Macaca mulatta: one gene and its partners. The protein of the gene in region 6 interacts with the protein of the main gene of each other region in a pairwise test. Links are inferred from orthologs where the notes say so. Each region holds a gene or a part of one and is shown on either strand. Other genes may lie near its edges.

What was found.
Region 1: the proteins of KIFC3 (region 6) and NECAB2 interact in binary tests that used the Homo sapiens proteins (3 or more experiments, as listed by UniProt). The two-hybrid records come from large-scale screens. The link is inferred for Macaca mulatta from reciprocal best matches to the Homo sapiens genes KIFC3 and NECAB2.
Region 2: the proteins of KIFC3 (region 6) and CLIP4 interact in binary tests that used the Homo sapiens proteins (3 or more experiments, as listed by UniProt). The two-hybrid records come from large-scale screens. The link is inferred for Macaca mulatta from reciprocal best matches to the Homo sapiens genes KIFC3 and CLIP4.
Region 3: the proteins of KIFC3 (region 6) and DEUP1 interact in binary tests that used the Homo sapiens proteins (3 or more experiments, as listed by UniProt). The two-hybrid records come from large-scale screens. The link is inferred for Macaca mulatta from reciprocal best matches to the Homo sapiens genes KIFC3 and DEUP1.
Region 4: the proteins of KIFC3 (region 6) and CBY2 interact in binary tests that used the Homo sapiens proteins (3 or more experiments, as listed by UniProt). The two-hybrid records come from large-scale screens. The link is inferred for Macaca mulatta from reciprocal best matches to the Homo sapiens genes KIFC3 and CBY2.
Region 5: the proteins of KIFC3 (region 6) and USP2 interact in binary tests that used the Homo sapiens proteins (3 or more experiments, as listed by UniProt). The two-hybrid records come from large-scale screens. The link is inferred for Macaca mulatta from reciprocal best matches to the Homo sapiens genes KIFC3 and USP2.
Region 7: the proteins of KIFC3 (region 6) and SOX5 interact in binary tests that used the Homo sapiens proteins (3 or more experiments, as listed by UniProt). The two-hybrid records come from large-scale screens. The link is inferred for Macaca mulatta from reciprocal best matches to the Homo sapiens genes KIFC3 and SOX5.

What each region holds. Positions count from the first base shown.
Region 1 is NC_133425.1:79,363,959-79,367,374, forward strand, and holds the end of NECAB2 (N-terminal EF-hand calcium-binding protein 2), read left to right. Parts: intron 1-733; coding exon 734-811; intron 812-1,657; coding exon 1,658-1,749; intron 1,750-2,163; coding exon 2,164-2,192; 3' UTR 2,193-2,620; downstream 2,621-3,416. UniProt on the Homo sapiens protein: May act as a signaling scaffold protein that senses intracellular calcium.
Region 2 is NC_133418.1:95,855,391-95,860,004, reverse strand, and holds the start of CLIP4 (CAP-Gly domain-containing linker protein 4), read left to right. Parts: upstream 1-1,411; 5' UTR 1,412-1,697; intron 1,698-2,506; exon of another isoform or gene 2,507-2,534; intron 2,535-2,686; exon of another isoform or gene 2,687-2,767; intron 2,768-2,867; exon of another isoform or gene 2,868-3,050; intron 3,051-4,614.
Region 3 is NC_133419.1:94,210,092-94,214,250, reverse strand, and holds part of DEUP1 (deuterosome assembly protein 1), read right to left. Parts: intron 2,317-4,159; coding exon 2,203-2,316; intron 1,337-2,202; coding exon 1,094-1,336; intron 1-1,093. UniProt on the Homo sapiens protein: Key structural component of the deuterosome, a structure that promotes de novo centriole amplification in multiciliated cells.
Region 4 is NC_133422.1:24,969,777-24,974,428, forward strand, and holds the start of CBY2 (protein chibby homolog 2), read left to right. Parts: upstream 1-1,645; coding exon 1,646-1,756; intron 1,757-4,652.
Region 5 is NC_133419.1:120,061,828-120,065,986, reverse strand, and holds part of USP2 (ubiquitin carboxyl-terminal hydrolase 2), read left to right. Parts: intron 1-1,810; 5' UTR 1,811-1,851; coding exon 1,852-2,625; intron 2,626-4,159. UniProt on the Homo sapiens protein: Hydrolase that deubiquitinates polyubiquitinated target proteins such as MDM2, MDM4 and CCND1. Isoform 1 and isoform 4 possess both ubiquitin-specific peptidase and isopeptidase activities.
Region 6 is NC_133425.1:53,471,369-53,476,176, forward strand, and holds the start of KIFC3 (kinesin-like protein KIFC3), read right to left. Parts: upstream 3,153-4,808; 5' UTR 2,854-3,152; coding exon 2,746-2,853; intron 1-2,745. UniProt on the Homo sapiens protein: Minus-end microtubule-dependent motor protein. Involved in apically targeted transport. Required for zonula adherens maintenance.
Region 7 is NC_133416.1:26,282,478-26,287,350, forward strand, and holds the start of SOX5 (transcription factor SOX-5), read right to left. Parts: upstream 3,072-4,873; 5' UTR 2,999-3,071; coding exon 2,961-2,998; intron 1-2,960.

The DNA of each region.
Region 1 (3,416 bases), about 26 Mb from region 6:
GTGGAAGCTCAGCTCACTGCAACCTCTACCCACCAGGTTCAAGTGAGTCTCAAGCCTCAGCCTCCTGCATAGCTGGGATTACAGGCCTATGGCACCAGGCCTGGCAACTTTTTTTTTAAGAGACCAGGTTTTGCCATTTTGGCTAGGCTGGTCTTGAATTTCTGGCCTCAAGTAATCCACCTGCCTCGGCCCCTCAAGACTTCCCAAGTTCTGGGATTACAGGTGTGAACCATCACACGCAGCCACCTGGTTTTGTTTAAATAAAGGTGAAGATTTTAACATGACATTTCAGCTGGGCACAGTGGCTGAAGTTTGCAATCCCAGCAGTTTGGGAAGCCAAGGCGAGAGGACTGCCTGAGCCCAGGAGTTCAAGACCAGCGTGGGGACCATAGCAAGACCCCAGCTCTACTAGGACATTTTTTGAATTAGCCAGGCCAAGTGGTGCACACCTATAGTCCCAGCTACTTGGGAGGCTGAAGTGATTGTGCCACTGCACTCCAGCCTGGGCAACAGAGTGAGACCCTGTCTCAAAAGAAAAACTACATGTCATTGACAAATAGCTATTGGCCACTATAAGAAACCAGGCCTTGTTCCAGGTGGTGGGGGCACCCTGTTGAGTCTCGCTGGAGGACCAGAAAGGTTGAAGGCAGCGGTTGTGTATAGGGGTGGGCTACAGGACTAGGGTGGCCACGGTTGAGCCCCAGCCTCCCTGCCTGTCTGTCTCCTGTTGCAGCATCACTGCCGTGAGGCTCTCGGATGGCTTCACCTTTGTCATCTATGAGTTCTGGGAGACGGAGGAGGCATGGAAGAGGTGAGACACTGGGTCTCCATAGCAGGTGTGGGGGCTGTCTTCCTGGAGCCAGGAGCTCCTGGTGGGTAGAGAGACCCCCCACCACGCTCTTTCCCTGTAGAGCACCTTGTGGGCCAAGGCACTGCCTTCTTTATCACCCTGTAGAGCTGAGGACCTGACCTAGAAGGTACCTCAGTCCCCATGTGATCAGTTGTTCCAGCGCTTAACCTCCCCCCCAGCTGAGTGCCTTGTAGGAGGGAGGGAGATGGGGTAGGGTGTCATCAGCTCTGATGGGCTTTAGGCCTTTGTCGTCTGCTCCAAGCACATCTGGGACAGGTTGTTCCCCACTCTGGGCGGAGCCTAATTTCTGATGCGCCAGACCCCACAGGCAGGAAGCAGGGCCTGGGGGTAGCTCATGCCCCGATATCCTGCTTCCCCGGTAAACACAGTTTGCAGAGAAACTCAGGACCCCTGTGGGAACAGGGGCTGTCATGAGAAGTGAGGGTGTCCCCTGCCTGTCCGTACTTCAGTGACTCATAAAATGAGGGACTAAAACCCTTCACAGCTGCTGTGTTGTCATCCGTCCCAGGCGGAGGATGGCCCCACTCCTCCTCCTAGGGTAAAACAGGAGGTCGATGCTCTGTGCACTGAGTAGGGGGATGCCACTGCCCATGTAAGGCTCAGTGCCTACCCCAGAGTCAGCCTCCCTAGGCACCCCCTCACCTTCCCACAAAGGCTTGGAGTCCAAAGACCCCCCCCCCCGGGCTTATTTATAAGCTCCCCATTTTGGGCAGAGCTAGGATTAACAGGGGATCCACATGCCAAGCTCCACTCCTGGTGCCCCTAACACATCTCCCTGGATCGCAGGCACCTGCAAAGTCCCGTGTGTAAGGCGTTCCGGCACGTCAAGGTGGACACACTGAGCCAGCCTGAGGCCCTCTCCAGGATCTCGGTGCCAGGTAGGGGGCGAAGGCCTGGAACTGCAGTGGCCACTTGATTGGAGAGCCGGGCAAGAGCCTAGAAGCCACCCCGCCTCTCCCAGGGACTTGCCTGCAAGCTCCTGACCCCAATGCCAGGTGTGCAGGGAGGGTCCTAGGGGGAGAGGAGAGCTCCAGGCTCAGAGCCAGCCCTGAGGTGGCCCCACATCCAGGCATGCCGGCCGGAGCTTGCACCAGAGCACCCCTTCCACAGCCCGCTACTTCTAGCCAGACTGAATTTCCCTTCCCAGGTGTGTGGTTTGCTCCTGGGTGACCAGCAAGCACCCGTGGGTCACATAAGGACTCAAAGCCATCTCCCCACCTGCCCTTCAAGACGGCCCCCACCAGCTACCCACATTCGCACTCCTTCCCTCTAACCTGTCTCTGTCCTTCTAGCTGTTTGGTGCACGGTGGGACGGGACTGACAGCCTCCCAGAGGCCCGCGGAGGAGCCCACCCCTGGCCCCTTCTGCTTGTGAAGGACATCCCCTGTGTTCTAGAAACTGGTGCAGAGGCTGTCTTTTCAACCCGTCTTCCACACGGTGTTTCCCTGCTGTGACGTGAAGGAGGCCTCCCCTGCCCCCACCCGAGAAGGCAGAGCAGTCTCTGTGCTGCCCGGTCCTGGTGAAGCCCAAGGTTGTGGGTGAAGGGGGCGGCTTCCTGGGGCCAGCACCCCCACCTCCTGGTCCTGGCCTCTCCCCGACCCCTCAGACGGCCACGCATGACCCGCACTCACCACGCCCTGCCCTCTTCAGTGACATTCTTCTACCTGGTAGGAGTTAGGACCCTGTAGTGCCCAACCTAGCCAGGCCGCCGCCACTGGGCCCAGGCGCCGAATAAACCCTGGTTGGGAAGGGCTGTGTGCTCTGTGTCTGTTCCTGGTTGACAGCAGCAGGGGCCTGGGCACCCTGCAAGTGCCCCCAGCCTCCGTTTTCTGAACCATAAAATGGAGGTGTTCACTCTATGCGGTATTTTGACACATAGGCTCATGCCTATTCAGGAGCCCAGAGGGCACCACCCCCACCCTCAGGTCAGTAATTCACTCAGAGGACTGGGCGCAACTGTCAAAGTCAAGGTGGATGACAGACAAAATCCAGCAAAGAAAGAGGCTCCCGGAACAGGGGCCAGGCAGGGGCTGCCAGTAAAGGCCACAGACATCACTGAACCCTCCCAGCTTCAACAGACAGAGCATCACCAACCAGGGATGCAGTCCCAAGTCTTACTGGGGTTCGGTGACATAGACACGGCTGACACCTTGTGGCTCAAGCCCCCACCATAAGTCACATGGTTGGCACAGACCACGCAGTGTGGCCCAACTAAGACACTCACCAGGCACGATGCTCCAGGGACGGGCGAGTCTCTCCCAGCACAGCTGTGCATCAGCCATTCAACAATGCAGGAGAGCCCGACTATGAACTGCAAGTCACGTCTTAAGTCTTACTCTGAACGCTTTGTAACTTCTTCCTCTGTCTCAGTCCTGGTTAGCAGGAGAGAAGTCACTCACGGCCCAGTGCAGTGGCTCACACCTGTCATCCCAGCACTTTGGGAGGCCAAGGCAGTTGGAACACCTGAGGTCAAGAGTTCGAGGCCAACATGCTGAAACCTCGTCTCTACTAAAAATATAAAATTAACCAGGTGTAGTGGTACAAC
Region 2 (4,614 bases), on a different chromosome or scaffold from region 6:
CTAATACCTTGTTGATTCTGTTAGGCTTTTGATGCTGATGATCATATCTGTAAATATCGCAGACAGGAAGATTTTAGGGACTCTGCCCAGTGCTCTGATCTTTTACATTTAAGCACTTCTACTAGTTGAACTCCAATCTGGTGCCCCAATTCTGACAGTTGGGTGTCTCTCACGGTCCTAAGGGCTAGGCCCCCTATACACTCACAATTTAGAAACTGATGATATTCTACCCCATATCCAGTCCATGTAAAAGCAGTGACCTTGTCTTCTTTTGCTATTTCCTCTAACCGTTTTATCATGGTGGGGGTCCTGAAAGCTGCTGACAGATCTCCATGCTGCTGAGTGTCTGAATTTCTGCATGCTGCTCTATGCAGCCATTCTGGGTGTTTAATGCCCCCAAAGACAGCCTGTGTAGGTTAGCAAAGTAGTGAATCAACACAGGCCTTCAGATCAGACAGACTTAGGTTTGAATCTTATTTCTGCCCCTGGCTACATGGAGCAAGTCACGCAGCCTCCCAGAGTCTGTTTCTTCATTTGTAAAGTGAAGACAAGTAAGCTCTCCATAGGCCAAGTGCCTTTACAGTGGTCAGTGAGTAATGCCCCTTCTCCACACCGTGATGTTGACCAGTAAGTCGATCACCTCCTGACACTGTGGATTATTGCTACACTTTTCAGGAACTTTGTGTCTCCAGATATAATTGAATCTCAGCAGCTACAGTTGGTCCACATCCCCATGTGCCTTCCCACCCCAATGAATAGTTCAAGTTCCAAGTTCTGGCCGCGTATCATTGTCCAGTCTCACTCTTGTTAACTGGGCAATACCTGGTTCTAAAGCTTGTATGTCATGAGATACTCTAGGAAGCATGACTCTAACGAGCACTTGCATTCTTGATGATGGTGTAAAGGAGTAACGTCAGATTTTTGAACAAAGGCCACTAAGTGAGTGGGAGACTCTGGTGGCTTGGTATCCTGGGAATTTGCCTATGTATTCCGGTGTTTGGGTGTAGCAGATAAAGCCAGTGGCCTGACTGGTTCTAACAGAGATCTTTATTATAGCTAATAACAACTCGGCCATGCCTTGTCACTGACTAATAGTGGTATTTCAGAGGGATAATTTAAATCACCAGTAAAAGTGAACTGTATACCTTTGGAAACTTCACCAATAGCTCCTCTGTTACACACAGATCTTTATGACTTTCTGAGGTTCAGTGACAATCGGCCTCATTTATAGGTGCTTGAAGCCAACCAAGGGCAGATTGCCTTTCTTCTTTTAACCAGCTAAAGAGATGGGTGGGTCAGACAAGAAGAGGGTATGATGAAAGCAGGGAAAGGGAGGCGGACTCTTCAGAGGGAGGAGGAAGTATCTGTGTTACACATTATCTCTGAGAGCACTCACAGATGCTGAGCCTGCAGAGACAGAGAAACTGGCAGCTGACCAGGCTTGGGGATGGTCACGTATTTAAATATTGTGGGTTTTAGTCAACAGTGTGCGCCACCCGATTCAACAATGTGATGTGACTGCTCCTAGCAACTATTTTGATATGGTGAATTTTTGTTAACACAAGCATAGGACCTTGAAGAGGTGGCAGTCTCTTTCCTCTCCGCACTTGGCAGGCCACCCACTCATTCCTGATAATCACATTTAAGAGAGCTCTGGACAAGCTGGGATGCATCCAAGAGAATCCCTCAACATGCTGGTGAGTGGGATTGTGACCATGTCATATCAGGAGTAGCTTAAGGGATAGGTAATGCGTGTCTTGGATAAATTGGAGTCAGACTTAAGAATTCCCAGGGCAGAAACAAAATCCAATGATGGGGAGATGCAGGGAGCTGGATTTTAGCTTCTAAGGTAGAAAGAAATTTTCCAAAAGGCTGATCAAAGATTAAATAACTGCCTTAAAAGGTAATGAGCTCCTTGTTACACCGCGAGGTGTTAAACCACCGCTTGGTGGGAAGACACTGTAAGGAGGATTCAGGCAACTGGGAAGGGGGCTTTTCCCAGCCCATGGAATCAATGATTCTAACAGGAAAAGATGCTCTGGGGTGAGGTGAGCGCTTACCTCTGCTCTTGCAGAGACAATGACAGACGTTCGTTCAACATCTGTTCCTGCTAGGCACTGTGCGCACTGAACACAGAAGTACAGCCTCTATGAAGCAGCCGCTGTAGGCCTCAGAGACAGCTGATACGATGTAACTGTTGACTCCATGTTTCAAACCTCGGCCATGGTCTTACTAGGTCTCCTCATTAAGGGGACTTACTATGTATCCAGTAACGCTTTCTTGCTACCAGATGACAGGCTGTCAGAGTTCACGACTTTAGGCGCACAGTTCACCCTGTCAGGTCCTTGGGAGACGGAGAAAGGGGGTCAGGAGAGAAGGTGGGTGAAGAGGCAGCAAAGCCGCAGGAGATATGAACTAAATTGCTCAACGTGGGTGTAGCATGGATTAGGCCTTTTACAGCAAGCCCTGCCAGCAGGGAACTGGTGGATATACTCTCGGCCACACTCAGCTGGACTCCGGGGAGCCCAAGACGGGTAAGACGCGGTCCCTGGCCCGAGCAGCTGGTGGGAGAGCCGCAGGGTGGAGATGTGAGGCCACGAGGCTGAGCGCTGTGAAGGCGGTGGGCACGCACGGCGTGCCGGGGCCGCCTGGCTTCGCAGCGGGGGAGGTAACACTGCGACACCCCGCAGACGCTGCTAGCCGGGGTCTCGGGCCCGCGTGCGCCGGATCTTCTGCCCGTTGGGGAGTGCGGGGGCGCGGGCGCGAGGTGAGCCAGCGCAGGCGCGCACTCCCTCCTCCGTCCCCACCGAGTTCCCGGCGCGTGCGCGGGGCCGAGGCCGAGGCCTGCGCGCCGCCCGGCCGCCTGCACTGCGCGCGCGCCCACCACGCGTGGGAGGCAGCGGGAGGGGCCCGGCGAGGTCCGGAGCGGCGCGGCGGGAGGCTCCGTGGGCGGCCACGGGAGACAGCGCCGGCGGGAGCGCGCCTCTCGGCCTTTCCTCCGCGCCCCCGCGTCCCCAGCCGGCCGCTCCGAGAGGACCCGGAGGAGGCAGGTGGGCCGGGGGCGCGCGGGGCCCCCCGGGCCGCGGGCAGGCAGGCGGCGGGGTCGGGGCCGAGGGTGGGCGGCCCTGGGGGCCCGCGGGGAGGTCGGTGGCCCCGGGAGGGTCTCGCAGAGGCGCTGGGGGCTGTGGAAGCCCCGTGGCCGCCTCCAGTGGGCACCGGTGTCACCGACCGCGGGGAGGCCTTCTCGGGGCAGTGCGGCCCACCCGGCGGGGATGGGGGCTCCTCGTGGCGGTCGCTGACTGATGGCCCAACTTTAGGATGAGGGGCGTGGGGTGTGCGGGACCCGGCGGCGGACCTGGGCTCTGGCCCACGACCCCGCGGCCGCCCCAGTAGTCCCCGCACGCGCAGTGGCTTTCCAACGCGGCCTCTTCCCATTTCTCACTTGACCCCCCTTGCACATTAAATTGTCGAGAAATCTTTGGCCCTTGGGTCTTCAAAATTAAACCAAATGGCTGTCCTTGCAGTCCTTGGCTACCTGAGGTCCCTTAATTCTGAACCAGCCGCACCTGGGAGGGGAAGTTGGAAGGAGCGCTGGAGCTGAGCCCGCATCCTTAAGGATTCCGTTCACGGCTTATGATGGTAGCGCTTTGAATTAGATGTCAGGCTGTTCACGTCATCCAGACGCTGGTTTTCAGCTCTGTTCTGAGACAGTGTTTTGATATAGATCAGAGGATGATGTTCTTACGGAACAGTAACTTGCTGTGTGTTCTGAGATACTAGACTGTGTTCATATTGTAGCACCGTCATCGTGTAAAACGGCACCTTTGAAAGATTTCAGTAAACACCGTCCTCCTTAGGAACATCCGCCAGCACTTAAATTGTACTTCACTTTCACTTTGACGTTTGTTGTTTGTGAATCTTGTGCACAATTTAAAGTGAGTCGTCTAAACAGCACAGGATCGGGTGGTGCGGGGCATGGAGCAACTAGGGAGGAAAGCAGAGACTTGAACCTGGTGGAGTCTAGTTGGTCTGCGTTTTTGTGTTGGAGAACCATCCTGGTTCCAGCTTATTTTGTTATCGTAAATATGATGCATTTTTAAAATGCTTTCATCTGATACGGACTATCTGGACTGTAAGATTGAGTCTTGCTATGCATGGAATGTGTTTACTTCTGTTTTGCAGAAGATTTAGCCCATGGTATACTATTTGTAGGATTCATTTCAGACATTTTGTGTTTACCACATGCAGTCCCACCGGAAAGGGCTTTTAAAAAAGTGACCTGTGTTGTCTTTTATTGCTTATGACAACTCCAATTTTGGCACGTATTTGAAACTAGTGATCTTTATATAAAACCGACTTCACTCTTTCTCCCTGTTCAAACCTACAAACTCTGGTTACTTTTAGGTTTACTGCTCCTTTGTTAATTATTTATAATGAACTATGGAGCTATGGGCTTGCTTTAGTGTGTTAACCATTATTTGTGTCTTGTTTCAGGCATTTGCATATTGTTTTCTGGAGAGTGATCTGCACTGTTTTCCTTCAGTGCTGTTTAGAAGAGCTTTAGGAAACCAGGAACATGTTCTTTTTGCATTGCCCAATATGGTAGCACTAGCC
Region 3 (4,159 bases), on a different chromosome or scaffold from region 6:
GTTTGAGGTGGGGTATATGTATGTCTTATAACCACCTCTGAATGGGGGAGACTGGGAGCCTTGAATTCTGTCCCTTACCAAACATAGGGAAAGAGGAACATAGAACAGTAGATGCTGGCAGAGAAAGAAGTTAAAGGACTAACTCCCTATATAATCCCAAATATAATGTGGCAAGGTGGGGGAATGAGGAGTTGGCCCAAGACTAAGAAATGACCCTGGGAGTTTAAGTGGCAACAGATCTTGGGGTGGTATATCTCAAGGAGATGAAATGGAAGTTCTCAGGCAGTGACCTTACCTCAATCACGTATGTTAGGTAGAGCAGGGAATAGAGTGGGGAAAAGATATGGGCCAACTGTCATGTAGGAAGTGATGGAAAGAGGCTGAATATTTGGAGGTGAGAGAAAAAACCTAAAATGGGAGATAAAAGAATGTCTCAAGTACTAATGAATAAGAAATATATATTCTGTAAAGAAATGGGTAATTTTGATGAGTGCTGTATAACCTTCCTAATGATTACAAGAAATAGACAAAAAGAAGAAAACATTACTGAGTTGAGAAAAAAATTAATGCTTGTTAAATCATCAATCATATTTGTCAATGTGAAAGTTACCTAAAAATAAATTCTAGGTTACTGTTTGATAAATGATTGTGATACCATTACCAGTGATAAATCACTGGAGTCACCTCCATAGCTCTCACTGAGGTTACTAGATTGTTGAACCCTTCATGATTTCCTGTATCTTTAACCAAGGATTCTTCTGAGTCAAAGAGACACAGGGTAACAGAAAATAGTGCGGGAAGAGGGTAGTACATGGCTAAAGGCATAGAGGTTTGTAAGTGACCACTGTTACATTGCACTTGTAATACATTATTATTATGCCACTGCTGAACTAAAGTGCACTCTAAGTGTGGTAACATACTTATGGGATTATTGAATCTACCCATCAAGTGCAAATTACTAAGAGGAAATATTAACAGAATCTTCACATATATTAATAATAGAAAACTACCATTCTAATCCCTATATCTGTTGAGTTACCATTTACACAAGTCATGGACAATATTAGTTGAAAAACAAAAAATTAATCTTCACCTGGCACTGTCTTTGGTACATTTTCAGTTCTTGCAAGAGCTTCTGATTTTCATCTTGTAATTTATTCCTGCTTAGTGCTATCTCACTTACAGCTGATTTTAGTTTTTCAATAATGAACTCATCTCTTTCACCGATTTCACAATCGGGATCTGGGTCACATATCAAACGAGGAATTTCAGAGCTGCTGTCTTCTAAGCACTGTTTTTTACCATTTAGTTGAGTTTGGTAACTTTGTGCCTGTTTCTGAAAAACATAAAAACTGTGTAACTCAAATGAAGAATGTCATATTTAAGCTTACATGAAGTTCAAGAATGATAGAAAATAATTAGTAGGAATATCTTTAAATATGTTACTAGATAATGAAAGTTGGGTCTTTGTAATTCAGTCTTGTATTTGTTTTAAAATTTCAATTTCAGATGGCATAAAGAGAAAATATATTTGTATAACCTCAGAGCAAAGATGTAGACTAGAGAAGGAGGTTAGTGGTAGTAAAGCCATATCAAGCAAGAAAAAAAATCTAGAAGGTGTAAAAAGAAAACTATGAATTCAATTATACAATGGTTGAAAAAAGTCTATAACCAAAAATAAATACAAACAAACAATTTGATTGTAGGGGAAAAGTTGTCAGTGCATGTAACAGAGTTAATAATTCCTAATGTACAAACACTTCTACACATCAATAAGAAAAGGCAAACAACACAAAAGAAAAATGGGCAAAGTTTATGAATAGGCAATTCACAGAAAGACCTGAGAAAGGCTAAAAAGTATATGAGGAGATGCTCCGTCTTATAAGTAGCCAAGAAAATACGAAGTAAAGCAAGCAATCTTAAACTCTCTGAGTGCCTTGCCTATAGGCATACAAAAACATATGGTATTTAATGACACAATAACAATGGATTTTTAAATAGCTCCATCCTTTGAGACATGTAGACTAAATTCACCATTAACAGATATTCTATGCACTTATGACCGTACCCACCTTTGGACCTACTCTGGTGATTTTTTTCTTAGTTGGCATTTCTATTTGTAAATAGATTACATGCTGAATGGTAAAGATACCAATATTTAACTTCTACTTTTGATTTAGAGAATAGTATTAGATAACTTACCTGAAACTGATTACACTTCTCAGATAATAATTTTTGTTGAGCATCTAAAGAAATCAGATGAGTCTGATATAGTATCTCTTGCTTGTCCCATTCTCTTGACTTCGCTCTAAATTCCTTTTAAAAAGTGGGGAGACAAACATATTGAAAAATATTATTCATTTTAAAGTACAACGAATAGGGCTTCTTTCATTTGTACATCTTCATTCTGAGAAAAAAAAAAGTAAATCCATTCTTTACCTATTAGGGAAAACAAACAAAAAAAAAGGTGTCAAATAATTCATGTTGGATTTTTTTACCATCTCTAATTTTTGCTAGGAAAATACAGAATTTGTCACTTACTGTTAAAAATATAAAAAGTCTCTCTTATAACAAATACTTATTACTAATAAGGGAATTTCAAACAACCTTTTTTTTTTTTTTTTTTTTTTGCAGTAGCCAGTACTTTCTATTTGTTGACACGAAATATTTTTTCCTTCATTCATTCAGTTGCCAAATTTGTTCTCTTGTTTTTTTTAGAGGGTGGGGCTTGGACTTATTTAGTGACTGTTAAGGACTGAATGTTTGTGTCCCCCGCAACAAATGCATACGTCAAGCCTAAAGCCCAATGTGACGGCATTATGAAGTGGGGCCTTTGGGAGGTAATTAAGTCATGAGAGTGAAGCTCTCATGAACGGGATGAGTGCCCTTGTAAGAAGAGCTATGAGAGATTTTGTTTCCTCTCTCTTTCTTTCTCCCTGCCATCTGAGGATACAAAGAGCAGACAGCTGTCTGTGAACCAGGAGAAGGGCCCTTACCAGAATCTGATTATGCTGGGTGATATGGTTTGGCTCTGTGTCTCCTCCATCCAAATCTCACATTGAACTGCGATCCCGAGTGTGTGTGTGTGTTAGCAGGGGCCTGGCGGGCATGGGGGTAGTTTCTTTTTCTTTTTTTTTTGTTTTGAGATGGAGTCTTGTTCTGTCGCCCATGCTGGAGTGCAGTGGCACGATCTCGGCTCACTGCAACCTCTACCTCCCAGGTTCAAGCGATTCTCCTGCCTCAGCCTCCTGAGTAGCTGGGATTACAGTCACATGCCACCACGCCCGGATAATTTTTTGTAATTTTTAGTAGAAACAGCATTTCACCATGTTGGTCAGGCTGGTCTCAAACTCCTGACCTCGTGATCCGCCTGCTTCAGCCTCCCAAAGTGCTGGGACTACAGGCGTGAGCCACTGTGCCTGGCCTGGTGGTTTCTAGTAGTTTAGTACCATCCCCCTAGTGCTGTCTCTTGACAGAGTTCTCATGAGATCTGGCTGTGTAAGTGTGTATCACTTCCTGCTTTTCTCTCTCCCTCTCTCTCCTCCTGGCCACATTAAGACATGCCTTGCTTCCCCTTTGCCTTCCACCATGATTATAAGTTTCCCAAGGCCTCCCCAACCATGCCTCCTGTACAGCCTGTGGAACTGTGAGTCAATTAAATCATTTTTCTTCATAAATTACCCAGTCTTAGGTAGTTCATTATAGCTGTGTGAGAATGGATTAATACGCAGGCACTCTGATTTTGGACTACCAACCTCCAGAACTGTGAAAAATAAATGTCTGTTGTTTAAGCCACCCAGTTTATGGTATTTAGTTATAGCAGCCTGAACTAAGACAGTGACTTTGCCCCTTGTGGCCATGGCCAGGCCTCATTTAGGCAGTACCAATTGGTATACCTGGGAAAGAAATGGTAGAAGTAGGTTGATAAAGCAGGATCAGTTCTTTAAGTTTTCGCTCAAGTCGTGCAATTATACAGCATGATTATCTGTTCACATCTTAATAACATAAGCAAAGGATATAGCTCTGGGGATGCCAAAGAAGACATTGCTGCTTCTCCATTTTGCCTAGGGCTGACTATTTATATCCTATCTTTCTGTCCAGTCTTTAAACAACTTGAGGGTAACGGCTGTTTATTACTTTTGTAACATTCACAGTGCCT
Region 4 (4,652 bases), on a different chromosome or scaffold from region 6:
CACTGTAGGATCAATTTGTATGTAAAATAAGTTCTAGTCTCATTATACCTGACCTGATTATTTGCATAAAGTACAGCAAGAATAATGATTCACCATATAGGCTTTTGTTTTCGAATGGGCTTTGCTGGACCTTTTAAAATAAGGAATTTCTGACTTTTAAAAGCCTTGAGATCAGTCAACCCAAGGATTTGCCGTCAGATTGTGCCTGTAATACCTAGATGAATGGATGTGTTATTCCTCTTTTCTCAGGGTCCCAAAATAGGTTGCTGGACCTATCAGAAAGTGACATTTTTTACTTACTGCGAGGACAGAAACTTTGTAAAGGAACCTTACAGACCAGCTACCAGGCCAGTCTTTTTAAGAGGCTTTTTTTATTGGTGCTCTAAAGTTAACCTCCATTCTGGTCATACCTAAAAACATGTCATTCCAGTCAAAGCCTTAGTAAAATAACCAGTGTCTCCAATTGTGTTCTATTACCAAAGAAAATAGTTTTTTATTGAAAACTAATGCAAATAATATATTGCCATAAACTGAGAATACTCACAAACAGCTTCCAAGTTCTGGAGAGAGCAGAGAGAAAGGTAAATGCCTCAAAGTTTTGTTCACAAAGGTATATTTTATCTAATGTGTTGTAAGTTAAAAACGGTTCAAAAGGAAAATGTTTTCTTGACTCAGGAAAACAAAACATAAGAGATCATCAATGTTTCAAATAAAAATGTCATAAAAGATCTTTTTATTCCTCTATCAGTTCAGTCCCATGTAGCTAATTCTTGTTCTGTTTGATGTTGGGTTAGCAATTCTCATGCAACTTTTTAATCAGAGCCCTGGAAGACTTTTCCTAGTCTGATGGCATTATCTCCAAAGTTATCAGAAATCTGTGTTTAAGAGTACTGATCAGAGTCCTTTGCATGAAAAGTAATTTGGGTTGTAGCTGATTGGAAAGCTTTTTAGAGAAGAATTCAAAACAATAACTGTGGATTACAAAAACTTAGCCATGGCTAAAACCTGATAAAAGTTGTCAATTGTCAGGAAAATGTAGTTATTTCTATTATATGTAGCATTTTAAGATAACAACCAGAACCATGACTGACAGCATCACATCAGGACCATCTGATTTTTATAATAATATAATCTTAAGAATATTTCTACTAATAATGTATCTACACAAATATAACTTTTAAAAAGATTTAACATATCAAAATTACGACTCATAGCATGTGAGACTTTTATAAACGTATGTAATTTTTAGTACATTTATATCAATAGCGCACCCATAAACATAACCAAAAGAAGATCCAGTATTATTTAGCATTTGATAATGTCTCCCATACAACTTTACCAGATAAATCCTACCAAAGATGTTAAAAGATTCAGAACATTTGATCAAAACGAACTACAGGTCATTTTAAAATAATAGTTATTCATTTAACTAGCATGACAGTCAAAGGACCTCAAAAGTAAGTAACAGAAAGTTACATGGGCGGTTTCCTGGTTATACAAAATAATTCAGACATATCATAAAGCCAAGAGTATAAGATTATATTACATTTGAGGAAAACATTGCTTTTCTAAACTTTAAGATAAATATGTTAGCATTATGCCATAAGAACAGCATTAGGGCTGGGGTAAAAAATTGTAGGAGTTCATGAAAAAGTTGAAGAAGAGTTATCAGACCAGCCAAGCAAAAAGATATGTTTTTTTCAAGGGGAAAAAAACAGAAGATAATGAATGTGATCTGCAACTTATATGTAACAAGGTACAGGAAAAGTTGAACTTCTGAGATATAAATCTGACATTTTAATTTTAGAATTTAAAGTCAATATTTCTTGCAATATCATTGAGAGCAAATCAATACTTCAAAAAATTTTGTGGCTTTAACCAAAATTTTTAGTTTTGTGTTAGTGCATTTTTAATATTACAGCTAATTTTAATAAGACCTTATAAACAAATCTATTCAATCTCAGTTAGTTTTGACTGCAAGATAAGATTTCCGTAAACCTTTTATAACCTCTTCCAATTTGTTATATTTTCATTCTTTAACTTTCTATATTTATTTAGTTTTATCTATAATTTTTTTATTCCTTCAATTTAAAACAATCCTTTAGAACCTCTAAACTAGGCAAAATTACTTGCCCTTAAATGAAAACCATATTCCTGTCTTCTTATGTGTTTACCAAAAACACATCCTATTTTTCTTATACATTTTGCATATAGAATTGTTTCTCTTGTATCTAGTAGTTTCAATTACATATATAAGTCACAATATTAACTCTTAGTAATCCTTATTTTAGGGAAGAACCTAGGAGGTAAGAACTCTTGAATTGTCTGTCATATATCAGTATTTTATAGATAAAATATTATAATTTATGTATTTTAAAACCATTTTTTAACCTTTAGAAACATTTCCTTATACATTTTCTTAATTGGAAGTGACCCAGCTGCTCAGTAAGTATGATAACTTCAAGATTTTCAAAAACATAAGAATTTCATTTATTACGTTTATCTAATTTATTTGTTTTTAACAGTTTATCTAGATTAGTTATGAGAACAGAGATATTAGACAAAGCTGGTCATCATTTTAAGTTTTTTCCTTGTTAACCATTTCACAGCTTGTGAATATCAGGTGTTCACCTAAGTAAGAACTTTGAAGTGAAATACATGGATATTTTGCTGATAAATCAGAGGATTTCATTGTTGTCATTAAACCAACAATATTAGTCTTATTTATCAAAAGAATCACGTAAACAAAGATTATTCTGTTTTGGCTAGGTTTATAATTTCGTGACTTTTGTGCCAAACCTGGACATCTTAAAATAACTAGCAGATGCACATGTCAGCTGACCAGTAAACACAGGCAAAATCACATGCTGACAATTCTGAAGACATATCTATTTTTATTTTATCAATAATTTTAAATTGGTTTTATTTTCCAAAGATTATTAAAGTCACATGAACTTGAAAAGCTTTTGGGCTTATTTATTTAATGTATCAGTACTCTTTTATTTATAAGCTCATTTGATACCATATAGAAACAACACATAACATAATGCATGTATATGCGTAAACGAGACAGTTGGATCAAACTTATTTTCCTGATAAAATTAGAACCTGTTCACATAGCTCAACTTTATTTGCCCTGATGAGCAAAGCAGTTTCCATGGCACTTTGATTTTAAAAGACCTCTTTCATTTTTTTTTTCTTTAGCCAGTAACCTTAAACTAGTAATACCATGAACAGTAAGTTTTATCTCAACACTAGTAAAAAAGTCAGCAGATTCAAAGTAGTCAAGAAGAAAAGACAGGCAAATAACTTAGAAGACTACATGACAACTCTTTAGGGGCAGAAGAAGAAAGAGGGTTTGACTGACATTTTTTCCATGTGCCATTTTTCTTCAGGTTTTCTAGTTTATGGAGTTGCTTTGTTCTAATTGAGTGTGCGGATAAACTACTCTGGAGCTCTCATAAGGCTTCTGCTGGAGCCATCACAGTCTTTAACCTTTGTTAAGCCAAACATTGATACACAGACCAAAAATACAGACAGATCAACAAAAATCAGAACCAGACTAGATTATCTCAGTGGCTGCAGCTTTTTACTATTGCCTTAATTCTTTGTGACTTGAACATACACCAGATTTGGGACTCTAACCTGACCAGAATCCCCCTTGGGTAGGACTCAAACCCACAGTCCTAGACAAGGGTGGGACTCTCATCCATAATCCTAAACCACAGGGTGGGACCTGAACCCACAGTCCTTATGATGAGTTCAAAGACAATTAAAAGTACAGGTATGTATTAACAAGGTACTCACCAGAAAGATGTCTAATCCAGAAGCAATTTCTTTTCCCAAAGGAAAAGTGCCAAGGGAACCTGAAGTGCCATGGTAGAGAAGCAGGAACCCTATAGTTGAGCCTCTGAACGCACTGGTCTAGGTGGCTACTCAGGATCAGTGCAGGGGGCCTGCACACCACTAGGGGCAACAGTACCTTGAACAGGCTGTTCGTCTCACCTGGGGTTCTAGTTTGTTATCAAGCAAAAGGGGCTCACTGCCCAATATGCTAGAAGCCAATACTGACACCAAGTTTTTGAAAAAAAGAAAAGCTTTATATTAAAAGTCACCTCTGAAGGAGGCAGGAGTCAAGCTCAAATTTGTCTCTCTGTGCTGGCATTAAAGCAGTATTTTTATTAGAAAAGGTTCAGGGGGTGGATTCTGAGATTAGCAGGTGATTGGTACAAGGAAAAGGGAGGTCTGGAAAGTCCTTGGGCATGCACAGTTATTTCTTCATGTTAACTCCTGAGTTGCATGTGCAAATTCAGGGGGAATTAGTACAAAACATGTGGTGGAAATTCAGCCTACGACATCAGCAAGCTTATTGTGTGCAAGCTCCAGTCAGCCATTTTGGTTCCAACCAATTTCCGCCAGGTTTTTCTAGATCTCGCAAGTGGAGGGAGTTTCAGCAGCTTAAATTTCTTTTCTTATCTGCTATCCCGAAACTCAAAAATTTCTGTTAGTTACTGATTTCTTACTCTTTGGGACTTTCCATATCTCCCATTTCCATCTACCAATCACCTACTAATCTCGGAATCTACCCCCGGAAACTTTTCTAATAAAAATACTGCCTTAATGTCAGCACCGAGAGACGGGTTTGAGTTTGA
Region 5 (4,159 bases), on a different chromosome or scaffold from region 6:
CCTATATAGAAGCTACCTGCTCATCTCTCACCCCTGTACCTACCCCAAAGCCTTGTGTGGACTGGGATTCTAGAGCTTTCTGCCAAGCCCTTGCATTTGGGGTTTGGCACCATCTCCTCTCTGCCCTGATGGGCTGGGTTGCCCAGCCAGTGTCTGCTGAGTGGCCAGATGTCTGCCCACTGCCTGCTTCTCTCGCTGGGGGCTGCATGGGGAGGCCTGGTGTCCCAAGCTGAGGCTAGAGGCTGGCCAGGCTGGGAGACAGCCAGCCCTGATATTATCATAGACCTACAGAGGGCAGAGCCAGGCTGCCTCGCAGTAGCTCGGGGAGGAGATGGTAACCACTGTCATTGTGGAGCCCTTCACGTGTTGTTATCTCATTTATTCCTCACAACAGCCCTGTGAGGTAGGAATTATGAGGATGGTGGTTTTACTCATTTACAGATGAGGAAGTTGGGGCTCAGAGAGGTTACATGATTAGTGCAAAATCACCCAGCTAGTCTATCACAGGGCAAGTCCCACCACTCTGAGAGTCCTGGATGGCTCTGCTTCCGTCCCCCTAGAGAGCCCCCCAAGAGCCCCTGATGCCCTTGAGGACAGGCTTCTGACCCTACTTGCTCCTCTGCCACTCCAGCTCTATTGGATACAGGCTGCATGTTTACGGCAATGGAAGGCCTCCGGGGGTCCCCAACTGACCCTAAATCTGATGAGGGGGTGGTAACTCAAGGTTAAGTGGAAAGAACACTGGCCAGGATTTCAAAGACCTGGATTCCAGTCCTGGCTCTGCTGGTGTGTGGCTGGGGAGAAATAAGCACCACTTTTCCCATCTGTACAACAGATAGATTAAAATTCATGATCCTCTGGGGCTTTCAAAGCTCCACATTCAGCAGTTCCTTCACTAGACCCTCCCCAGCTGCTGGACTGGAACAGGGAAGGACTGGGAATGCCACGTGCAGTGCAAGATTTGGGACTGTAGGGGGCCCCCTTTGCACAAACATCACCAGGACCAATTTGGGATCCGGATCCATGTCGGTAGAGGAACCCTGTGTTGGTAGAGGAACTCTTGGGAGGCCCAGGGCCCTAACTCCACTTAGAACAGAAGCTTAGCTCAGTGACATGAGTGGGTTCTACTTCACGAGTGTCCCTCACTGTGGGACCAGCAGCAGATGCTGGTGTCTGGGGAAAAGGTCTGGAGACCACGTTCTGGCCCCTCGCTGTTGCATGCTCACTCACGGCCTCCCCTGCCCACCCACACCCCATTACTTCCTCTCCTGAGCCTCCTTGGCCCCACAGGGGATCTGACCAAATGATCTTCAGGTCATTCCAGCACAGTCTAGGTTTCCAAAAAGACACCTGCTCATCACATAAGTCAGAAGGGACAGAAGTGGTCTTAACTCCTGAAATATCCAGCATTCTCAACCCAGGGGTCTGTGGCATCCCCCCAGCTCAAGAGTTTCTGCAGTTGCTGAGGCAATGGGATTTGAGCTGGAAGACTGCACGGCTTGGTGGGCTGTGGACGTCGGGTAGCCCCTGCTTGTGTGTTTGAGTCTTTGAATGGCCAGGATGCGCTGATTCCCTGTGTGGCATATAAAAGCCACCTCATCCCTTGCACTCTCACTGAGGCGTGAACACACAGGTGCAAGCAAGCCCGTGTGCACACCTGTGTGCATGTGTGTTTCTCAGCAGCCAGCCTGTCTCTTGTGGAAATGGACTGGGAGCTCTTAGGTTCTGGCCCAGCTAGGGATGGGGAGCGGGTCTGTGGGAGCCCGACACCTGGCAGGGCCCTCTGACAACTACTCTCCTTGTCTTTCAGCCCATGAGGCTCCCAGTCCCCACTGAGTGCGACCCTGAAGGATGTCCCAGCTCTCCTCCACCCTGAAGCGCTACACAGAATCAGCCCGCTACACAGATGCCCACTATTCCAAGTCGGGCTATGGTGCCTATACCCCCTCCTCCTATGGGGCCAACCTGGCTGCCTCCTTACTGGAGAAAGAGAAATTTGGTTTCAAGCCGGTCCCCGCCAGCAGCTTCCTCACCCGTCCCCGTACCTATGGCCCCTCCTCCATCCTGGACTATGACCGGGGCCGCCCCCTGCTGAGACCCAACATCACTGGGGGAGGTAAGCGGGCAGAGAGCCAGACCCGGGGTACTGAGCGGCCTTCAGGCAGTGGCCTCAGTGGGGGCAGTGGATTCCCTTATGGAGTGAGCAACAACTGCCTCAGCTACCTGCCCATGAATGCCTATGACCAGGGGGTGACCCTAACCCAGAAGTCGGACAGCCAATCAGACCTGGCCCGGGATTTCTCCAGCCTCCGGACCTCAGATAACTACCGGATAGACCCCGGGAACCTGGGTCGCAGCCCCATGCTGGCCCGGACGCGCAAGGAGCTCTGCACCCTGCAGGGGCTCTACCAGGCAGCCAGCCGCCCTGAGTACCTGGTGGACTACCTGGAGAACTATGGTCGCAAGGGCAGTGCATCTCAGGTGCCCTCCCAGACCCCTCCTTCACGAGTCCCTGAAATCCTCAGCCCAACCTTCCGACCCATTGGCCGCTACACGCTGTGGGAGAAGGGAAAGGGTCAGGCCCCTGGGCCCAGCCGCTCCAGCTCCCCGGGGAGAGACAGCATGGTGAGTTTACCCTTGGGGACCGGGGATGGGCTGGGGAGGCAGCCACTGTTGCAGAACAGCCAGGCTGAGGGCTTGACTCCCAACCTGACTGATGATTGACGGCAGCCGGTGGCTGCTCCTGGTGGAGACAAACAAGAGAGGTCATCCCAGCACGTCTGGTGCCCCTGGGGCTCCGTGCCGAGGGGAGGGGCTTTCCTGCTCTGCCTAGAAAGCCCACTCAGGGCCTGTGCACTCGAGGACAGTCCAGTAGTGTTCTCAGGAATGCTCCGCTGCCCCCAGTGAACCACTCTTCTCACCTTCTCCTTTTCCATCTGAGATGCCAGTGCCTCCTGCAGGCCCTGCCCCGACCTGGGCTGGATGCGGGGGCCCCAGACCACCAGTGCACCCAGTAGCAGGAGGGCGTCCTTGCTGCGGTTACATCTCCCCTCTTGTGCAGGTTTTATTCCCTAGCCCCGAGGCCTGGCTTTATATTTGGACATAAGACATTAGGGGAAGAGGGACTCTCCTCTGAGTGACACTGGCATGCTCAGGACTAGGGTATCAGACAGCAAGGCTTATCATCTGGCTTTGGAGAAAGTAGTGGAGAAATTTTTATCTAGGGCTTGAGACAATCCAATACCTCTATTCCAGCCCTGCCTCAGCTGGAATGAGAGAAGAGGCTCTGCTGGAGACTGACCAAGGGCTGGCATGGCCTTGCTCGCAACTAATCTCTGAACGCGCCTCTCTTGGGGCACTGATGACATCTGCCTTTCTGTAGTTATTAGTGTGCCCATTAGGTGGCAAGCTCTCAGAGGAGGAAAACGAAATCCTATCTCTAGATCCCCTGCCACGTGCCTCCCACAACGGGAGCTGACCTGCTGATTGCATGGATGAATGGATGGATGGATGGATGGGTGGGTGGTGGGATAGGTGGGTGGGTGGATACATGGGTAGTGGCAGGTGGACAGATGCACAGGCAAGCATATGGACAGAAGGGCTGGGTGCTGTGTCTCCTCCATTACCTTACATACCCCTCCCTACTGCTAGGACAAGTACATTTTGAAAACAACAGCCTGCCACAGCAAGAAATGCTGCTTGGAGGGCTGATCCAGACAAATGCAGCAGGGGTTCAGGACTAGGGGCAGGACCTTGAAGCTTGCATAAGTAAACATCTTGAGAGGGCAACTTTGATAATATTACTTAGGGAGTCTTGGCTTTGCTGTGCCATCTGTGAAGTGGCACAGGAGATAGAAATGCTGGTGCCTCCCAGAACTTTCAGAACCTGACAAGGCAGGGCTGGATCCACTGTAGAAAGGAGTGGAGAAGAGACATGTGTCACAACACAGCTGGCCTGGGGGGAAAGTATCAGCTCTCAGGGGGCCACATGCTGGGCTTGTGGTGGAGCAGGATTCACTTGGACTCGGCTGGTGCTGTTCATCCCCAGGGCAATTAGAATATGGCTCTCCTCAGAGGGGTTTGGGTCCTAGAAGCCTCTGCAGGGCTCCCTCCCCTTGCTCAGAAGAGAAGGGTTGTTGCATGGTCAGCAGTGCTCCTT
Region 6 (4,808 bases):
AAAGGCAGAGTAAAATTTAGAAAATCAAACTGGGGCAGTGGCTCACACCTGTAATTCCAGCACTTTGGGAAGCAGAGGCAGGTGGATAACCTGAAGTCAGGAGTTCAAGACCAGCCTGACCAATGTGGCGAAACCCCATCTCTACTGAAAATACAAAATTAGCTGGGCATGGTGACATATGCCTGTAATCCCAGCTATTCAGGAGGCTGAGGCAGGAGAATCGCTTGAACCTGGGAGGAGGAGGTGGCAGTGAGCCAAAGATCATGCATTGCACTCCAGCCTGGGCAACAAGAGTGAAACTCTGTCTCAAAAATTTTTAAAAATTTAAAAAAAGAAAATCAAACTGGATATCCAAATGATAATTAAATTACATATGTTCATTCATTACCACTGCTGTTACCAGAAAATGGGTCTTGTCCCAGACTCCAAGAGTGGGCTCTTAGATCTCACTTTCTCGGGAAAGAATTCAGGGCAAGTTGCAGAGTACAGCAAAGTTAAGATAGTTTGTTAGAGACTATTATGGAGTAGGGCTTCCTCAGAAAGCAAAAGGAGGAATGCCCCTACTTTAAAATTTTTATTTATTTATTTATTTATTTAGATACAAGATCTCACTCTGTCACTGAGGCTGGAGTACAGTGGCACTATCATGGCTTACTATAGCCTCAATTTCCTAGGCTCAATTAATCCTTCCACCTCTGACTCCCAAGTAGCTGAGTTACAGGTACACACCACCATGGCTGGCTAACTTTTGTATCTTTTGTAAATATAAGGTTTTTTCATGTTGGCCAGGCTGGTCTTCAACTCCTGAGCTGAAGAGATCCATCCATCTCAGCCTCCCAAAGTGCTGGGATTACAGGCGTGAGCCACCATGCCTGGCCAAGAATGCCTCACCTTAAACATAGTGCTTGCTTATATAGGTTGTTAAGAATAGCATACTTCATTACAAAGACTTTTGATCAGCTTGTGACGGGCTATTAGTATTGTTATTTTCCTATGTTACTACTGATTTCCACAAGAATTTATGTGTGTACTATTATCTTTAAAGTAAAATCTATTCTTAAACTAAGAATGCTTTTTGTTCTTGAAATATTGGGACGTTTCCATAAGTTCTGGGTCTTTATTTGGTAAGTTAGCATCATTAACTCATCCCCTCAACCATAAATATCTTGTGACCAACAGTGTCAACCCCCTGGGAATGCTGCCCAGCAGGATTGGCTTTACTTAGCCTTTATTCAGGATGGAGTCTCTCTGGTCAGGACATCTCTGACACTATTAACCTTCTATCTCAATGTCTTTCCCTCTCTCACCACGCAACCTTAGATAATTAATTTGTTAATTACCAATCTCATAAATGAAACAATGCTGACCAGGGCAAATGGCTGGTCTGGATGTTCCCAAGGATGTATTGCAGGCGGCAGGAAGGACGATGGACCCAGCATCCACTTTACCCGGGGACGATCATAAAACAATTTGCACCATGGTACTGAGGGCCAGAAGGCCAGAAGACAGCCATGTGATCAAAATAATCTTTCCTAGGCCAGGTGCGGTAGCTCACACCTGTAATCCCAGCACTATGGGAGGCCAAGGCAGGTGGATCACTTGTGGCCAGGAGTTCAAGACCGGCCTAACCAACACGGCAAAACCCTGTCTCTACTAAAAATACAAAAATCAGCCGGGCGTGATGGTGTGCACCTGTAATCCCAGCTACTTGGGAGGCTGTGGCACGAGAATCACTTGAACCTGGGAGGTGGAGGTTGCAGTGAGGCAGGATTGTGCCACTGCACTCCAGCCTGGGCAACAGAGTGAAACTCTGCCTCAAAATAATAAAAATAATAACAATAATGTTTCCCACAGGTAAAATATTTTCAAGCGGAAGGAGTGGAAGTACTAGCCAGTCATATATATAGATCATCAAGGAATAAGGATGAGCTTCCGGAAGCGAATTCTGGCAGCTGGGCTTACCTGCTACTCCCTGGGAGCTTTTTGGCGCCTTTATTATTATTATTATTGTTCTTTAATTTTCTGTCTGGAATAGCTGGGACTACAGGTGCACACCACCACATATGGCTACTTTTTTTTTTTTCTTTTAGTACAGACAGGGTCTTGCCCAGGCTGGTCTCAAACTCCTGAGCTCAAATGATCCTCCCGCCTCAGTCTCTCAAAGTGCTGGGATTACAGGTGTGAGCCACCGTGCCTGGCTGAGATTTCATCAAGCTACTTAGAACATCATGCAACTTAGAATTTATGAATTGTTTATTTCTGGAATTTTCCATTTAATATTTTTGGACCTTGGGGCCTAACCAACACGGCAAACCCTGTCTCTACTAAAAATACAAAAATCAGCCAGGTGTGATGGTGCGCACCTGTAATCCCAGCTATTTGGGAGGCTGTGGCACGAGAATCACTTGAACCTGGGAGGTAGAGGTTGCAGTGAGGCAAGAGGGTTACTGAAACCTCAGAAAGCAAAACTGTGGATAAGAGAGGATTACTATACTGCCATAAAGTTGCATTTTTAAAATAATTTCAAACATTGTATCCAAGTAATATGTGTATTCAATTAAAATTTCATCCCTTCAGTGTTTTATAAGTAATTCAAATACCAGAGTGGTAACCATCTTCTAGGAATATTAGTTACAATCCCAATCACTGTTTTTCAAAAAGATGTTGTCAGTCCTGCTCCTGAAATTTCTCTCCAACAGGTCTCCTCCTCCCATTCCCACTGCCCCAACCCAGCCAGGCCCTTACCTCGCACTGCTCCGGGACGCCAGCCTCCAATCTGAGGCTTTCCTGGTGTCTGGGCTTCCATGCAGCTGTCAGAGTGTTCTTCCTGAAAAGAAACTCCATCCATGCCATTTTCCGAGCAATACGCTTTACTGGGTTGTCCTGTAGCCTTCAGGATAAAGTACAGATTCCTAAGCATGACACCTTGGATGAAGTATTTTCCAGTCTGTTCCCTCCTTTCCAGATTACCACCTGCCCCTTTGACCCTGCCCTTTGGTCATTAGCTACAATCAGCTGCTCTCTCCAGCAAGCCTCACTAGCTCTCCAAGCCTTCCCCCATGATGCTCTCTGCCCAGACTGCCCTTCCTCCTGTTCCTCTGCCTACAAGATCCGACGTGCCCTTCAGCCTCCAATGTTAGTTCACCAAAATCTTCCCTTTGAATTACGAATGCAGCTGGCTGCAAACTCCTCCAAGTGACCAGAGTGTCCTATAATCACCTCTATGATAGCATCTTTGATTTAGGGGGTGATTTTTCTTTTTTTCTTTTCTTTTTTTTTTTTTTTTTTTTTTTTTTTGCATTTCTGAATTTCCTAAGAGAATGTGAATTCCTAGAATCCTAGGAATTCTCATCTGATTTTTATTCCCAACATAGCACCATGCAAAGCAAAAAGTAGGTACCCAATAACTGCTTTTGGAATGAATGAATGAATCAATGAATGGTACCATGCAGCTGCCAAAGTGCTTTCTGCAAAGCAACTCTGACCTTGTTGCTCTCTGAGCTGTGCTCCTTCCTGGGTGATGAGGTAACACTGGAAGCTATTAACAGATAAGAGAGAAAAAAAAAGGAGGGGAGAGATCTCTGGGGCTCTGACAAATTACTTATTTTCACTGAGTTTCTGTTTCCTCATTTGTAAAACAAAAGTGCTGCCCGGATGAGCTCTGAAGGCATCTTCCAGTTCTCAAATTCCAGCCTGCTTGGCTCCCAAACAACTTTCCTGGAGTCTCTGGCAGCTATAACCCAAGTCTTAGCACCATCTAGTGATAAACAGGCACACAGCTGGGAGGGAAGGCCGGGGAGTGGGGAGGGTGGATAAGAGAAGGAATGCCAACCTTAATTATATTATGAGCTGGCAAGGAATTAGGTCAAACCTGCAAATACGAAGTTAAAACTAAGAGGCCTAACTTTATCCTGGGGATGGAATAACTAATTAGCTTCAGAACATGGATGAAGTAGACAATTATAGAATGCCTGAGACATGGAAAAGACAATAAAACAATTCCTGTGTACCCTGGCCCTCTGGTTCTTTTATCAATTTACTGCTTGTTACTGTAATTAAAGTTTTCTTGGGAGGACATGTGCTTTTGAAGGGCCTATGGCATGGGACTCTAATAACTCAATAAAACCACAAATTTATTAAGAATATATATGTATTTTTCAAATTTCTTCTTATTTATTTATTTATTTGAGACAAGGTCTTGCTCTGTTGTCCAGGCCGGAGTGCAGTGCCATGATCATGGCTCACTGCAACCTCGAACCCCTGGGCTCAAGCAATTCTCCCACCGCAGCCTCCTGAGTAGTGAGGACTACAGGGATGTGCCACCATGCCCAGCTAATTTTAAAATTTTCAGCCAGGCACGGTGGCTCACGCCTGTAAATCTCAGCATTTTTGGAGGCTGAGGCAGGTAGCTCACACAGTCAGGAGTTTGAGACCAGCCTGGCCAGCATGGTGAAACCCCATCTCTACTAAAAATACAAAAATTGGCTAGACATGGTGGTGTGTGCCTGTAATCCCAGCTACTCAGGAGGCTGAGGTAGGAGACTCTTACCCCGGGAAATGGAGGTTGCAGTGAGCCGAGATCCTGCCACTGCACTCCAGCCTGGGCGACAAAGCGAGACTGTCTCGAAAAAAAAAAAAAAAAAAAATTCTTTTTTTCAATAGAGATTGGGGTGGGGGAGGTCTCACCATGTTTTGCCCAGGTTGGTCTTGAACTCCTGGCCTCAAGCGATTCTCCCACCTTGGCCTCCCAAAGTGCTGGAATTACAGGTGTGAGCCCCAAGTTCAACCTCTTTACCTTTATTGGAGTA
Region 7 (4,873 bases), on a different chromosome or scaffold from region 6:
TTTATTGACTTCTTTTAAATATTTGGGGAAACTTCGGGCATTCGTTCTAATGATGCTATTACTCACATTTAGACCATGTTGCCAGCTATGTTTTCTCTAAACGGTAAAATGTAAAAGAGTTTCCTTACGAATAATCTTTAGAACATATACGCCCATTTGCTTCCCACCTGGGAATTGTGTTTTTCAGTAATCATAATCAGTCTATCACAAGGATGCTTGAAAATAAAAATATTTCAAGTTCTTTACCTTTTAGAATCACTGTTCTATTTGCACTACCTCCTGCATATTTTTAACAAACAATGAAATTGTTACTACTTCTTAACTATTTAATAACTGCTTGTTAGTCTGAGAGTACTGACCATGTTCATTTCTAGTGATGATAATATAGACACATACAAATCTGAACCCAAATTTTGATCCTGATATTTAAGTTTTGAATATTCCTTAAAGTTCAAATAGTCTACAGGCTGGGAAGAATAAAAGATGGACAAGACTCTACCAATGAAATTAGTTAAAAATGATCACATAAAACTTTTACAGTACATGAACCCCAAGCAATTTATTATGTTCTCTAGATCAAAGTTCTCTTTTTCACAAAGAAATTTAGCAGTCTTCTTTTAGATTTCTAAGTTTAAGCGGAAAATCATCTATAGCAAGTGATCCAACAGAATAAAAATTAACAGTCAATAGAAATGACCTATTTATTCAGTGAAAGTTGCAAACAGTTGAAAAGGCAAAAAAAAAAAAATCTAATTATATTTGATAGTTTCATTACATCATAAATACCTCCTTTGGAGAATACAAATATTCAATATTGTGTCTACATGATATACTGTATCATGCATGGTTGCCTATAGAGACACTCACCCGTACAAATTCAATGTAAACAAATAGTAATGATTTGCTGACATCTTTGTATGTATTACCAATTACAGCCACAGGGGAAATTATTAAGGAACGTTATAGTGTACGGCATTTTTCAGAATTATTTTAGATACTAATATTTCTAAATTTGATAGTCATACTAACAACCCTATTGATTATCACTTGCTTATTTAATTAGCTAGTTAGAAAAGCATGCCTCTGGGTGAAAAAAAAAAATGAAATTCCCACCAGGAGGAAAAAAGATGTTAACAGATTTGAGCATCAGAATAGGAAAGGGAAAAGTTTAGTTTAAAAAGAGATAATTGAAAAAAAAAATACAAATAAAGTTCACAGCAGGAAGCTTGCCTATATAGAGAAATAGGCTGCAGCCTGTTAATATGTAACTACCTTTTTATAAGTACAATCTGTTAACAGGCTTACAAATCAGTCTCAGAGTTGTATTTGCAAAAAGTATAATTAGAATTAAAGAATATTATCATTTAAGTGCTACTCTGTGCATTCTAGAAAACTTAACTGTGTTAAATTAGCAAATCGCTACATTAGGTAATGTATAGTATGTTTCACTATGAATAACTTCAACATCTACCTATGAAATAAGGCTATATTTGCAAATAAAAGCTCACTAATTAAAGAGTTAATATATAGAACTGAAAATTTTAATTCAAAACTGTAAAGAAAGCTCAAACATTCGCTGGAATTATCTAGTAAAGATGCACTTTAATTATACAAAAAAACACACAGAAGAAATCAAAGAAAGATGACAGCACTGAAGTATATATGTTGGCTATTTTACTTTCTTCCCTGATTTGATACTGGCTTCTCTAATATGTGACCACATTCAAGCGTTACTTTATCCTCAATACTCTTTTTCTCTTCCATTGCTTCACTTCTAGAATGTTTTAATCTTTGTCCTTTCTTTTTTCGTCTTTTCATATCAAATTCAGTCGTTTGAGCGATGAACAGCTTGACTTAGCATATTTTTAACCAGCTGGTCTAGCACCTAGCTTGCATTGCATAGTCAGATACAACAAATGTTTATACAGAAGGTAGCTTTCATGAAAATGAAAAAAAGCCTGGGTATCATGCATCCTGGCTTTTTTTAGCTTTTTTTTTTTTAATTCACCATACAGAATACAAAGTTTGAATTCTTTTTAATGGCAAACAAAATTCTATTTATAGTTCAAAAAAATGAACTTATGCTGGGATAAGAACTCAAATTTAAAAATTGCAATGTGTACTTATAGGAACATTAAGAGGGCTAAAATTCTTTCAAAGCCCTGCTTTACTTGCAACAACATCAAATAAAAGGATGTTGCAGATACTTCTCTAAATAGGAACAACTTAATTACAAATACACTATTCCCATCATAGCAAAAGGGGAAAATACAGTAAATTAAAATTCAGTGAAGACAGCTAACACAAAAAGTGGTCACTAAAACTTAGAAAGGGAACAGCCCCATTTATCCCCTTTCCCCCCCTATTTTTGACACTTATGGAGTAATCTAATATAGCGGTGATGTTAAATTTTCTTTGGAGGAAAAAAAAAAAAAACGCTCTCTTATATCAACAAAAGGTCATGTGCTTTACTGAGCAGCTTCCAAAGTTTTACGGAAGGATCAAATAGGAACTTATAGCCTCCGTTTAAAGCACCACTAAAACCTTCTGTCACCCTAGAAATTACATGAGACCGAGATGCTGAAAATGGTAACATTCTGCACAAAAGCATTTTTAAAAGGTGGGGAGAAAACAATCAATGAAGGAAGAAAATAAGAGAGTGAATGAGAAAGAGAGAAGCAACGAGTTGGGGAGAGAGAGAGATGCTTAAGGTTCATTTAATTTGCTGTTACAGGACGCAACCTGAAAACATTAGCAGAAATCCCGGAGACTTTGCAAATCAGTTCAATTTGGTCCGGGCAACCACAACAAAAAAAAATCAGCTAACAAGACTGCAGAAGCCCAAGCTAAAAGCTTCTCTAACAAACACGTTTTGGGGGAGCATCTTCCAATGATTCAGAGACTACTGTAAAATGGGAGAGTTGTACTTCAATATATTAGGGGGAAAAAACTGTACTCACCTTTCAAACTCCTGAGGTAAATCAGGGTCAGTAAGCATGCTGGAAAAGCACAATTTCCCTTTGTCACAGCAGCCACCTATGATCGTCTCCAACTGAACCTGTCAAGTGAGTCCAAACCTTCTAAACCAATTGATTTTCTCTCTCTCTCTTCCCCCCCTCCCTCCCTCTCTCTCTCTCTCCCTCTCTCTCTCTGTCTCTCTCTCTCCCTCTTTCTCCCCCCCTCCTTTCCCTCCTCTCCCTCTCCTAGGACTCCTTGACCAGTCTCTTAAAGGGGCAGTGCACTTCCAGCAGCCGGGTCTGGCTGCTCCCCCCTCCGCGGAGCCACACGCTCCGGCTGCAAGGCTCTAGACAACCTCAGGGTGCCTGTCCTTTCCTTTTAATTCTCTCTTCTAGACATCACTGAATGTGAGAAGTCAACTCATTTAACACGTCTCCCATACTCTGTCTTCTGAATCATAAAACTCACACACACACACGCATAACAGTATGATTTTGTAAAACATATTTGCTGATTAAAAACCAAGTCTAGATAATAACAGAAGCTCGATTAAACTGCATTTATTAACTAATGAAGCAAAAAATTTAAATGTTAGCAATAGCATTTTTACACAAAGAATTGTTACTCCTTCTCACCCTTTTCTAGGCTCTCTCCGTTCACACACGGAAATACACGCACACATACACACACACACACACACACACACTCACACACACAACAATCGGGCATTGTTCTGAGGGAAGAAAAGCAACTTTGACAGATTGAAATATAGCAGAGGCCCCTTCAAGGAAACCTGTAAACAACTTGTCACTCACTCTGTCCGTCTCCCTGTTAGATCGTGCTTTCCGCAAAGTGGTGCGAACGTCCTGGCAACCCAACCAAAGTTTCCTCAGCTCTAAACTCCATAAAACACGATGTGCGATGTGGAGGGGAATAGGTATCCGCATGCCAAAATAACACCCACGAGCGCACAAAAACCCAAAACGAAATCAAAACATAACAACAAAAAGACGCTACTAACAAACTGTCCTGTTTGGGATCGCTGGGGAGGTCAGGAGTAGGAAGCGCTCCCCTGGCTGTGGATCTCTTTAATTTCCTCTGCCCAGGCAGCCACAGATAACAAGGTGGACAAACTATGGCTTTACAGATTCTAAGCTGGCTGGCAAGGCACAGCCTCCATAGCAGTTCCAATTATCTAGATAAAAATCTGGCAGGCGAGAAAGGTAATCAGGTAATGTACCTTTGACATGAAATGACAGAGGCACATACACACACAGAGAGAGACACTTACACAGACATGCATGCAGAGATGGTGGCTGCCCCGTGCACCGCAGCATCTGGTCAGGGAGTAAGCACACACTCACCAACACGAGATAGTGTGCATTCTTCACACACGCATGCACACACACATACACACACACACACACTCAGTCACTCACACACGCTCTCCACTCCTACTGGGAGGGTTCATTCTGCACAAAAGGCTACATTACAGAGCCCGCCCCAATAAGGGAAAGAGAGGAAAAAAAAGCCTTCCATTGTTGAGAGGGCAGGTCAGTTGATTAGATTTTCTGTGGAGAATTCCACGAGGAAATTCCCTTCAAAGCCGAAGTGATTAACTGGGGGCTATTCTGGAAATGGAGCAGACAATGGCTCAATAGTCTGTACAGCCAATGTCCAGGCTGGCACTGAACTCACTTAAAAAAAAAATAAAAGCCAGACTCCCTGTTCTTTTCCACACATTCCTCCCCCCCAGCCCCCTCCACTCCTTCCAACTTCCCCTCCCAATTCCTTTTATTTTGCAGCTGGACAACATTAAGAGCCTTTAAAACCACAAGGGTTGACCCCACGGCAGTTTGATTAGGTCCCACTTTTTTTTTCTGGAGACAGGCAGACAGTAAGTTTACTTTTTTAG